Arabidopsis thaliana: one gene and its partner. The protein of the gene in region 1 interacts with the protein of each later gene in a pairwise test. Each region holds a gene or a part of one and is shown on either strand. Other genes may lie near its edges. The genes, in order: CR88 and SQN.

The links.
Region 2: the proteins of CR88 (region 1) and SQN interact in a two-hybrid assay, tested with the Arabidopsis thaliana proteins (one study listed by BioGRID).

The regions. Positions count from the first base shown.
Region 1 is NC_003071.7:1,279,947-1,286,795, reverse strand, and holds CR88 (Chaperone protein htpG family protein), read right to left. Parts: upstream 5,043-6,849; 5' UTR 4,814-5,042; coding exon 4,562-4,813; intron 4,454-4,561; coding exon 4,380-4,453; intron 4,295-4,379; coding exon 4,169-4,294; intron 4,079-4,168; coding exon 3,985-4,078; intron 3,895-3,984; coding exon 3,811-3,894; intron 3,724-3,810; coding exon 3,580-3,723; intron 3,498-3,579; coding exon 3,381-3,497; intron 3,299-3,380; coding exon 3,263-3,298; intron 3,150-3,262; coding exon 3,069-3,149; intron 2,992-3,068; coding exon 2,887-2,991; intron 2,792-2,886; coding exon 2,651-2,791; intron 2,560-2,650; coding exon 2,467-2,559; intron 2,378-2,466; coding exon 2,300-2,377; intron 2,222-2,299; coding exon 1,967-2,221; intron 1,885-1,966; coding exon 1,782-1,884; intron 1,701-1,781; coding exon 1,526-1,700; intron 1,431-1,525; coding exon 1,325-1,430; intron 1,245-1,324; coding exon 1,155-1,244; intron 1,076-1,154; coding exon 887-1,075; 3' UTR 652-886; and 1 more. UniProt on the Arabidopsis thaliana protein: Molecular chaperone required for chloroplast biogenesis. Essential for chloroplast biogenesis and maintenance, and thus for embryogenesis. May be involved in the disassembly of VIPP1 for thylakoid membrane formation and/or maintenance.
Region 2 is NC_003071.7:6,877,076-6,882,969, forward strand, and holds SQN (peptidyl-prolyl cis-trans isomerase / cyclophilin-40 (CYP40) / rotamase), read right to left. Parts: upstream 3,824-5,894; 5' UTR 3,669-3,823; coding exon 3,498-3,668; intron 3,110-3,497; coding exon 2,609-3,109; intron 2,510-2,608; coding exon 2,422-2,509; intron 2,312-2,421; coding exon 2,259-2,311; intron 1,699-2,258; coding exon 1,594-1,698; intron 1,473-1,593; coding exon 1,397-1,472; intron 1,255-1,396; coding exon 1,217-1,254; intron 1,123-1,216; coding exon 1,069-1,122; 3' UTR 1,038-1,068; intron 940-1,037; 3' UTR 699-939; downstream 1-698. UniProt on the Arabidopsis thaliana protein: PPIases accelerate the folding of proteins. It catalyzes the cis-trans isomerization of proline imidic peptide bonds in oligopeptides.

The DNA of each region.
Region 1 (6,849 bases):
CATTAACAATTCCATTTTACTCATTCTCTATCAAATAAATACAAATTCTAACCCATTATTGCAGGTCGGTATTTGATTTAAATTTTGACCAAGAAATTTTCCATCAAATGATTGATTTGGAAATCATTTTGATTTGGAAAGTTTTAATGGACCGTTAAGATTATTAGTTTAAATAATATCCGGAAAATGTGTGATTGTACCATATTTTGATATATCGAATATTGATTTTTAAATATAATTTATTCCATATGCATAATTATGAATTATTGTAAATTCTAATCCGCTCCACTAATTAATTCGCGAGCTCTTAATATTGTTTGCCAACATAATATTTTTAATAAAAAATATGTAAAATTAATAACTATATTTTTGGTTTATTTTAGATTGATTTTTTATATTTAGTTTTTTTAAATCTTTGAAAAAACAATAAATAGGTGATAAGTATTGAATATAGTGTGTTTAAGAAATATTATTTAAATTTGAAATATAGTGTATTTAAGGAATATAGAGTGATGACCAAATTACCATAGACGATTTTGATTAATAATGTACAAAATCCAAAATTGAAAATTGATGGCAGATTAGACTATTTTTCAATTTGTATTTTCTTTTTAATAATAAGAGGATGTAAATTCAGAATATTTAATACAACTCAAATGCAAATATTTTTCAAATATTCGTAAATATTTTTGTTAAAAGCTTTTTTTGTGTAAATTCTCTAAAATTATTTTAATTATCAAAAAAAAACTACAAATACTGTATTGGATAAATCTCGTTCACGCGTGATTTAATTATGGGCTTTCATTAGGCCCATGATACTGCTAATGGAAAGATAAAGCGTTCTGTCAAAAAAAAATCACTGCAAACAAAAGAAGGTAAAAAAGGATCAATCTTGCCAAGGATCACTCTCTGCCCTCACTTCAGATGGTTCAACTACCTCTGTTTCTCCGCTTTTGTCATCTCCTTCATTCACAGTCGAGCTTTCTTCTTCTTCTTCAACTCTGCCCCATCTTCCTCCAACCGCCATTGCCATCATCTCATATATCTTGTTCCCGAGCTCGGCCGGGCTATCAGGCTGTACAACAAACACATATAAGTGAGTAAAATGGTCCAAGACTTTTACTGGGAAACAAGAAAGGTTTCAGATTTCTTACAGTGAATCCACTTGATATTATAGCAGTGTCATACAAGAGATCGACCACTCTTGTTGCTTCAGTGCTCTCTGGTGCATTCTTACAAGCAGCCTGTACCAAAAGAATACAAAAATTAATAAGGCTTTTTCGAGACAAGAGATTTCTGAGAGAATATTATACCACACACTTACGTTCAAGTCTTTGATGATGGGATGATCTGGATTGATCTCTAGTATTCTCCTACCTCTCATGAACTCCAGGCTTGAAGTGTCTCCAAGAGCCTGTGCCTTCATTAGCCTTTCACAATGAATAAGCACATAAGTCAATGAACAAGCACATAAGTTTTATGGTATGTGGATTTCAGGTTATAAAGCTTTTGCTGAAGTACTAACCTTTCCATATTAGCTGACCACCCGAATTTGCCAGAGACAAGCACACAAGGAGAAGAGCTCAAACGGTTTGAGACTTGGACTTTTGCAACTTTGTCACCGAGCTGCTGTTTTATCCAGTCACAGAGAAGGTTAAACTCTTGTTTCGCTTCCCTGTCCTTTACTTCATCTTCATCTCCTGCGAGAATGGACACGTTTTGTTACAAACAAATGGTTGAGAGAAATGTGCGGGCAGTCAGCAGTGCTAAACCATACTTACCGAGTTCCAAATCTTCTTTACTGATATCAACGAATTTCTTTTCTTTGTAGGTTTGCAAATTCTGAATAGCAACTTCATCGATTGGTTCAACCAAATATAGAACCTATAATTAACAAAAGCAAGTGGTGAGAAAGTCAAATCTAAACAGAAACTCGAAGTTGAAAAACAAGTCTTGAAGCATATACCTCGATATCTTTTTGGATTAGTTTCTCCAAGAAAGGGGCAGACTTGGCACTTTTAAGACTATCAGTTGCGAGGTAGTAGATCGCCTTTTGGTTCTCTCCCATGTTCTCGATATAATCATCCAAGCTTGTCAATTCCTCTTCATTCTTGGAACTGAAGAATCTAAGTAGCGGTGTGATACGCTTGTGGTTACCGGTGTCTTCAATACAACCCAATTTAAGGAATCTACCAAAGTTCTCCCAGAATTTCTTGTAATCCTAGAATTGTTTGTACAACATGAATATCCCTGGCTTTCAAATGAGCTCAAAACAAAATTAGGATAATGAGATACCTACCTCTTTGTTTTCACTCTCAGAGATTTCTTGTATCATGTCAAAGGTTTTTCTAATGAGCCTCTTTCTCATGATTCTTACCTGAACATTATCACGAAAGATAGTACAGTTACAATTTGTGATATTCATATATGATAAACATTTGTATCACTAACAGTTGCACCACTCACAATTCTGCTTTCTTGGAGAATTTCACGAGAAACATTAAGAGGAAGATCATCAGAGTCCACAACTCCCTTCACAAAGCTCAGATATCTCGGGAACTGCAAACAGATTAGGTAACATAGTCAGATAAAAATTGAACCACAAATCTAAAGAGATTTCTACATAAGAAAGAACCCATAAAAGACTCACAAGCTCTCCATCAAAATCGTCAGAGATAAACACACGCTTCACGTAGAGACGAATGTTCTTTGTTTTCGGGTTTGTAACATCTTCATTGTTAAGAGGACCCATCCCAGGGATGTACAAAATGCTCCTGAACTCAACCTCACCCTTTAATAATCAAGACAATACAGAGACTAGTAAGCACCAATTGAAGAATTCATAAATTGACATAAATATAGTGTATAGTGTATAAGTATAAAGACCTCAGTTGTGAAGTGTGTGTGAGCAAGTGGATCCAAGAACTCATTGAAAGCCTTTTTGTAGAACTCATTGTACTCTCCTTTTTCCACTTCCTTCGAATTGCGCATCTATTCAAAGACACAAAATAATCAGTAAACATGTTGAAAGAAAAGTACAAAACGCAGGCTAAAGCTCCAAGGCTTACCCATAGCGGTTTGGTCTCGTTGGCTAGTTCCCAATCCCAATACTTCTCAGTTTTAGTGGTCTTCTTTTTCTTTGGCTCACCCTGGAAACAAACAAGTAACAAAATCAACTCAGTAAACAAAATTCTAGAACAGTCTTTTGGTTGTGACTGTTTGATAGTTGATACACACAATTAAAACAACATAATTTTTTTACCTCTTCTCCTTCCTTAACTGGTTCGTCCTCTTCGACCTACCACAAGTTACAAATTTTAAACCATATTAGCAATGTGAATACACTAATATGATTACAAAAACAAAACTTTCATCCTCACCTCTATAGTCCTTGATTTCTCCTGCCATGTATAGATAGGAAACCCAACGAACTGAGAGTAATTCTTCACGAGGTTCTTGATCCTTGTAGACTCCGCAAATTCGTATTTATCATCCTCCTGCAGCCAGGAATAAGCAGTCAAACAAACTATAAGAGATCTGACGCATCAAATGAAAGGATGAATGAATAAAGAAAAGTACCCTCAGATACAAGGTGATTTGTGTTCCACGACGTAGAATGTTATCAGGGTCTGTTTCTTCTCTGATCAGATACGAGCTACTATCGGCAACCGATTCCCAAACATATTGCTTGTCAGATTTGGGGCTTTTGGTGGACACAACAACCTGAAAGCAAAGACAATTGTACGTCCATTCCTCGTAAGAAATACATTAACCAGAAGACACTAAAAAACAAAAGTTGAAAGTCTTCACCTTCTCAGCAACTAAGAAAGCAGAGTAAAACCCAACACCAAACTGTCCGATCAAACCGTTGTCAGCACCAAGGTCCTTGTTTTCCTGAATAAAGAGAGCAATAAAACAATGAGTCCGAAAACATGACATCAAAGATTTGCTAGCAACAGGTTTTCAAAGAGATGGAAAAAAAACCTTTAGAGCCTTCAAGAATTTCGAAGTACCACTTTGAGCAATAGTTCCAAGGCAATCAATAAGTTCTTCCTTTGTCATTCCAATACCAGTATCACTGCATATACGCATCAAACCTCTCTAAGTAAACCTGTTCTATTCAATTTTCAATACTTAAGTAAAACAAAAAATGAGAAGTCTCTCATACGTTATGGTGATGGTGCCGTTATCAGGATCAGGCTTAATCCTAATCTCAAGATCTCCACCATCTCCAAGCAAAGAAGGCTCTGTTACACTCAAGAACCTCAGCTTATCCAAAGCATCACTTGCATTACTGAACATACACAGACACATTCAAAATCAGATTTTGACAGAAACACACAAATCATTTCCAAAACAATCCATCAAAATTGACTCACCTTACAAGCTCCCTGAGAAACACCTCCTTGTGACTGTATAAGCTATGAACAATCAAATCCAACAATCTACTAACCTGTGATAAGATTTCAACAATCAAATCTTAAAACTTTATATCCCCATCAAGTTGAGAGATACCCAGAAAACAAGATTGAAACTTTAGGAGATATGAAAGAGAACCCACCTCAGCTTGGTACTCAAACTTCTCACCTGACCCTTCTTCAGTGGTCTCTTTCTCCGCCACGGCGGCGTCACACTTCACGGCGAATCGGTTACATCTCTTTTCGAGATTCCAGCTACACGAAACGCCGGTTCTTAAAGCGCCGCCGTGTGGGAGAAACGAGCTTCTCAGATGAGAGAGACGAGAAGAGACAGGAGTGATTGGAACTGAAGTCAAAGGAGATGTGTAGAGACTTCTACTCAAAGCAGGAGCCATTAGATTTGAAAGTTGTGAAGGAAAAGATTTGAGATTTTTTTACAATCTCTCAATCTCTAAAGAGAAAAGAGTTTGTAGTAGTTGAACAAAGAGTAACCTAAAAACCCTATTAAAGGTTTAAGGAGAGTGAGGTAAGAGAGGTTTCTAGAAGAAGAGCGTATAAAGAGAAGAGATGTTTAGAGATTGTGAGGTCTACGAGAAGCCATTTCATCAAAACCGTAGGATTATCCGTTTGATTTACACGCGCCTCTCCTTGAGAAATTGTAGCTGACACACACACACACACCAAATGCAAACCAAATTGAAAAAACACCTTATTGGGCCTACACGTTAACCCATAATGGGCCTATAGCCCGTATAAAGTAAAACGAAAGGTTATGGCTGGAAAATGTTTCGTATCAAATTGGCCCATATCAAGAAAGAGATCTTGAATATTTGTTTTTTTTTTTTTTTTTCGTAAATTATATATATGAAAGTTGGCCAACTCTCTTCATATGATAGACACATCATCACTTTAGCATTTGACATGTGTTTATTAAATAATTAATGTAATCTCTTCAATTTCAAATCTATAGTTTAATGATATATTTATATTTAATTTTACATATTATTTTATTATACATATTTAATTGTACTTTTACTAAATTTATTTTAATATCACATGATTTTTTAATAAAATCATTTTAATAGTTTTCTCATACTCGAAGATTTTTATGGTAATCCAAACTCAAAGTATGAGTATATTACTTAATAATTTAACTAAGTTATTCTCTTAAATTGATGTTTATATTCTCTTAAATTGATGTTTATATTCTCTTAAATTGATATTTATATAATAAATAACTGAGGGTGAAGAATATGTAAGGAGCTCCATCATTAAATTCTTAGGTTTATAGAATCCAACACTACCCTCTGTTAAATTGGTTTAAGATAAACATTGTTTAGAAATTATGTGTATGATGCATTGTTGAGAATGTGGTTAGAAAAAAATATTTTAATACTAAATGTAATTGCTTATTGCATGAGTAAATGATAAGATAAATAAAAATTATATTTAAATTAAACAATACAAAAACATCCGAAAAAACCGTGGTGTAGCGCGGATGATCACCTAATATTTCATAAAAATGAAAACATGATAGGTTTACAATCGATGATTTTCAACCTAAGCTAATGGTTCCATGGCAAAAAAAATAAAAACATGGAAGCATAAAAATAACCACATACATAGTGACATATACCAAGATAAAATGATATTAAAATTTTATTGATTTAGAAATTATGAGAAGGTGTGCACTAAATAAAATACAACAATGTTGATGCTAACGAAGATACACGATTGCTAATTATTGGAAATATCGAAACCATACGTTATAGACTCCATACCCATAACTAAATTAACCAAAACATATATAGTTACCAACTTCTCACTGTCCTCTACTTATTTTGCAACTTTTCCTTTTTTTATTACGACTATAATACAGTATGTGGGTATTGGGTATAACCTAAAAACAAAATATTTGCAATTTGGTCAAAAATTTGCAATTTCTTTTAAGAATAATAAAATGATGCAAATGATGTTTATTTGTCCTATTTTTGGATCCAAGGCAGGTATTTATGAATGGTCTACTGAACAAAAGTAATATCTGATGGAGAGCGGAAGCTAAATAACGGACGAAAACACAAAATCTCTATGAGAACTCGGATTAACGAACGGATTTTGTTTAGAACGCCGAAACTTGATGAAGAAGCAATAGAGATAAGGTCGAGATCGATAACGATATCGATGAGGTTTTGCAAATCCTCCTTGCAGGGCTTGAACACAAGCTTTTAGGGTTGAGAGTCCTCCTCTCTAGGCTTTAGACAAGCTCTCTTAAAACTCGTTTATTCAATAATCAAAAACTAATTACAATAATGAATTACATCTCTTAAAATAAGAGAAAAAGAATGGAAACCCTAGCCTAAAGAATAAGCAAACTAATATCAAATATTCAAAGCCCAAATATACATTAATTAAGTCCATATGAAACTAAACC
Region 2 (5,894 bases), 5.6 Mb from region 1:
AAGGACCCTACACTATTTAGAGTATTTTCATTAAATCAGTAGATTAATTTTAGTTAGCATTTAATAAATTGTGAGTTTTCTTTTTTATTATAAATAAAATAGCAGAGAGAAGGAAGCTAATACCAGTATCAGCATCATGTAGTCAACGCGGTAAAGGTGGTCGCGGCGGTGGTTGTCAGAATGGTGGAGGTCCTCCGAGACGGTCGCTGTAATTTGTGATTGTCGTTGGTCTACACTTATTAGTATAAAACTGTTTCAGTTCTACCTGCTCTATTAAGTTAAAGATTGATTTTTAGCAAAACACACATATTAAGAAAACAATATAAATATATTATTTTATTATTTTATAGTTTTCTATAACTCTAAACCAATGATAATTAACTATTTTTCTTGGAAATTACAGTTCACAATACTAACCAATTAATATCACATGAAAAACTTTAAAAATCAATCTTTTAGAAACAATTCTTTTTCTAGAAAATCAATCATTTAGAAACAGAAGAAAGTATTGTTTTCGCAAAAAAAAATAATCGTATTTGATTTTATTTCATAAGGAGGGAAATAGAAACAGTTCCCAATGGATTTTTTGTAAGCATATATGCATGCTGCGGAAACCAAAATTCCCTAGCATTGTAGTGCCCACTTGCTGATTCAAGCAAACGTGAAAAAAATCGTGGAAGAAAGCAAAGAACTCAGAGTGGCCAAGTAACTCAAAATTTCATTAACAGTCTCAAGCACTGAATCTATCCTTTGGGTAAAAACAATTTCCCAGTCGATATTACTATGCATCAGTCTTTGCCATGATGCAAAAGTAAAAACATGTTTACCAAAATGAGGGAAATAGAAACAATTCCCAAAGTCCTTTTTTGAATGTTTTTTCTTTCTTTATATGCTTCTTTTCACTTTTTGTTAGTCTTCTTCCTCACTATCCGACCAAACCTACATAGACAACATCAAAAACCCTGAGAGTTAAATTAGTTGACATAAAGCTTACACTAGGTCAGTTTTCTGAGATTAACAACAAATCTTAGGCTTACCCTAAATGAAGCAGAGCACCCCCCCCCCCCCCTATACGAACATTTTGCGGTACTGCTTTTTCTCTTCGTTGTCTCTAAAGGCAATCTGCAACACATGGTTATTAACGTCAGCTCTAAGATTTTATACTAGAAGTAAAGTAACTGCAAAAAGAACTTGTGTTCTTTATCCGCATACCGACCTTTTTCATAACAGCAGCATATTCTTTCTTGATACCAGCTGAAAAATCAACTCACAGAAATAAATGCTAGTTAGATTTCTCTCGTAATATATTTAAGTGTGTTGTACTATGTTCATACATTGATAATGATGAACCAAACTTGTCAAACCACAACTAATAGAAGCTTGATGAATCACTCACCGTCATTAGGTTCGAATTGAAGAGCTTTCTCAAGGCTTTCAGCAGCAGCATCGACGTTATTAAGAGCCATGTATGCCTAACATTATAAACAAACGCAGATAAGAAATAGACACCATCTTCCTCTCATGAGAAATCTAGAATTTTCGTTATTGTGGTCTAGGTTCTAGAAAACTGTCAAACAATAAGTTTTTAAGTACCTGGCCTTGTCGAAACAATGCTTTAACATTGTTATCTTCATCACGCATAGCAAATTCAGTGTCCAACAACGCTCCTTTTGCATCTCCGAATTTGAGTTTGCAGGCCTGCCACAACAGCCAGTTACAATACAATGAGATAACATAGTAAAAAAAAATCGGTTATACAGGCACAACAAAGCAATTAAGTTGGACAAGTGAAAACACTGGCAACGTAAACAGAGATGCAAACAATAATTCATATGAGCAATGTATGTCCCACAAGCATAATCTCAGAGAATATTATCCTGCTTATGTCAAGGTCAACCTACCCTACTTTTTCCCAAGAAATTAATCAAACAGCAGAAACCAACATAAATGACAGGTCTGCAGTGTAGAGCACTTCAAATTAATTTTTAGTTCACAATCAATTGCTTATCATTCTATCGACGGTACAGCTCATCCGTAAGAATTAAGCAGATTCAACAAAAAAAATTGTAATGTTAAAAACCCAACAGAGTAAGAAATTTAAGTTCTTTTGGAAAAATCAACGACTCCAAAGACAATCAATCTTCAGATGGTACGTAAAGCACACACACATATAAGGTAGATATGTTCAACTTACAAGAAAAGATATCAACAAGGATGTATGTAGCTTTAAAAAAGGTGTAAAAGCATGATGAACTTACAGCACTATTAGTGAAGATCTGCGACTTTGTCTTACGCAAGGCAGTACTCGTCTCTACAAGATCCCAAGTAGAGAGTGAGTGGGAACATTGGTATGGATAGTATAAATATTTTTTGAGATGAAGTAAGTGGAAACATATATAGAGAGAAAAACTGATAAACCACCTTCATCAATGCCCTCTTTCTCCCAGCAAATATCCAGATAGCGTAAAGCCTTACGGTACTTTCTAAGAGCCATCTTATAGTCTTGTTTCTGAGAGTAAATCAAGGTCAAAAACAGATCAGACTCACAGAAATGAAAATATGGAACAGACAAACGTATATATTCAATTTAAAACAATGGAAAAAGCACCTTAAAGTGCTCATTCCCATGAGCCTTGACAAAATCAACAGTCTCCATCCACCAAGATAACTCAGCTGGGCTTTCATTCAGATCAATAGGCCAGTCAGGGTACACATCACCATCCTTGAAAAAGTCACAAATCCCATCATCTGCACCCTCAGGGATTTCTCCACAGTCATGGATCACAACATCCTGAGAAGGACAAGACTGTTCCTCTATGCTAACATGCTCAATCGACCGAACAACACCCATTCCTTTCGTAACCCTTCCAAACACAACATGTTTCCCATCTAAATGAGAAGTGCGAGTTGTCGTAATGAAAAACTGAGAGCCATTAGTGTTGGGACCAGAGTTAGCCATAGAGAGCATCCCTTTCCTCTCATGTTTCAGCTCAAAATTCTCATCGTCAAACTTCAAGCCATAGATAGACTCACCACCAGTACCATCATTAGCTGATATATCCCCACCTTGTATCATAAACCCCTTGATAACACGATGAAATCGATTCCCCTGTAAACAAATACACCAAATACCATAAGTACATCATCCTATAGTACAATTTCAACCTAAAGTTTTGATCTTTACCTCACCACTACAAACTACAGTAACCTAATTGCAATACTGAAACAAAGTCAGAAGCTATTCAGCAATACGAGCAAAAACCCATTAAACCTCAAATCATAAGCATTCAGAACCATTCTATAGTACAATTGCATCCTAAAGTTTTGATCTTTCTTTCACAACTAATTGCAAATTTAACCAAGTTTTGATCTTTATAAACCCCAATGACGAATGACCCATTAAACCACAAACCCTAAATCACAGAAACAACAAATACCCATTTCTACATTTCATACATAAGAGAGTATAAACAAAGATATAGAGAGAAAGAGAGAACCTTGTAATGGAGAGGTACACCAGTATTTGGACCTAAACCCTTCTCACCGGTACAGAGTAATCGAAAATTCTCAGCGGTTTTGGGAACAACATCATCGTAAAGCTCAATAACAATCCTTCCTTCAAGCTCACCTCCAATGCTAATGTCCATGAAACACTTTGACCTACCCATCTTCTTCTTCTTCTTCTTCCTCTTGCTTTCTTGAAACCGAAACAAAGACGAGACAGAGAGAGAGAGAGAGAGAGAGAGAGAGAGAGAGAGAGAGAGAGAGAGAGAGAGAGAGAGAGAGAGAGAGAGAGAGAGAAAGAATCAGAGGAAGAGACAAAGAACAATGGTGTGAATCTCTGTCTCAGTAGCTTCCGTCTCTAAAAGACTGTAGACGGGGACTTGTCTCTTATTAAACGCAGAAATCAAAACGACAGATAGAAGAAAACCCTAGGACCCACTTTCTTCCTCCAACAAATTTTGTCTCTTTTTATTTATTTTTAACTTTTAATTAATTTATTTATTACTTGCTGCCAAAATTAAAAAATAAGAAATTTATTACTCGTCCCTTCGGGTACATTCCATAAGAGTGGATAGTAGGTGATTGCCCACTATGGCCACTACACAATAAATATTTGGTTTTATTATTTCTTTTTCTTAAAAATTATTTAATTTTTTTGCAAAATATTATTCTTTTTTTTTAGGGAAAAAATCTAAAAAAAACCCAACTATTTTTTATTTAAAACTTTAATACCCAATTGTTTTTGATTGGAACCTAAAGTTCCAAAATATTAAATTTTGTTCAAGAAAAACACTATTTAATTGTTCGTGGTTAAATCATTCATGCGCGTTAACAGACGTTAATTTGGCTGACGGAATCACTAAACCGGGGTTAATGGTTAACAATCCGCGGTTTAATTGACTAACTAAAAGACTACAGTACCCTCATTTGTTTTCCCCCAAATCGATTTGGGATTGAGAAACCCTAACTCCCCAAATTTCTAATTTCTCTCCAAAAAACTTAGAAATTGAAAGAGGCGATGATTCGAAGCGTTTGATCGGGTATATCTGCGTTCGATCCAGTTGGTAAACAGTCGAAAAGATGAGGTATGTCGATTTGTGTGTTGTGGGTCTGTCGATTTGAATTTTTAGGGTTCTTAAGTTTGAAATTTTCTGGGTTTGTTTGAAATTGGGTTAGGGGTTATGAATCAGTTAGGTTATAGTTTGTTTACCACTACTAATCGGTTAATTTCTATTTTCCAGTGATTTCGAGTGTTTGAAACTCAACATAAACTATAGAGGCGATGTATCCTTCACGGACCAAGGGTTCGATTACTCTGGAGGGGTCGAGGCGAAAGACATGGTGATGGATCCTGATCTGATGACATGGTCTATATTCGACGATTCTTGCAAAGAAAATGGAGTCAATGGTGAAGTCGAATCGATTTGGTACAAGCTTCCAGAAGAGGAAATCTATTCAGCAAGAGTTATCGGTGCCGACAAAGATGGTGGGATAAGGGAGTTATGTCGTGAGGCGATGATTGGTGGGGAAGTTGACATATACATCGTCAATGCCGTCTCTGTACCTGCAGCTTTTCCGCTTCCAAATGATGTTGTAGAAGACGAGGAACTTGGAGTTGAGGATGATGATGCCGAAGATATCATAGACGAGGAGCCTGCAGCAGAAACTAATGAGTGCCCTGAAAGAGTACAAGCTAATGGAGAAGATCCAGTAGAAGAAAGAAGGCACGATGATCCTCGGTTTGAGGCTTTCTTTGACGAAATTCACAATGGTACAGAAGCTGCAGATGATGTTGTTGATGATGCTGCAGCTGAAGACATTAACACAGTACCAGAAGAAACCGTTGCTGAAGAGGTTGAAGATGAAGATGAATTTGAGAGACAGTGTTATGATGTAGAGCGTCCGGATCATGCAATGGACACAGATGATGAATGGGATGCGTATGACCAAGCAGAAAGATCATCATCTCGACAGAAGTTTTCGAAGGATAAACCTCCATACATTTGGATGTTGCAGACTTTCAATAGTGGTTAAGAGGTTAAGGATCAACTCTTGCGGTATGTATTGAAGATGAATTATGATGTGAAGTTGTGTAGATGGGGTGCAAATAAGTTGGCAGCAATCTGCAGCCATGAAAATTGTGAGTGGAAGATATACTGCTCCACTCATAAGCGTTCAGGTATATGGAGAGTATAAACTTATGTTGATAAGCATCACCATGCTAAGAGTGGGAAAGCAAAAATGCTGAAACAGGGAGTCATCGCTAGGATGTTCAGAGATGAAGCAAGAAGGCGGCCTTTTTTGAGATGGACTGACATCAAAGATGAGATTATGATGAGGTACACACTCTCTGTGTCTAAGTGGATATGCCAAAAAGCAAGAAGAATGGC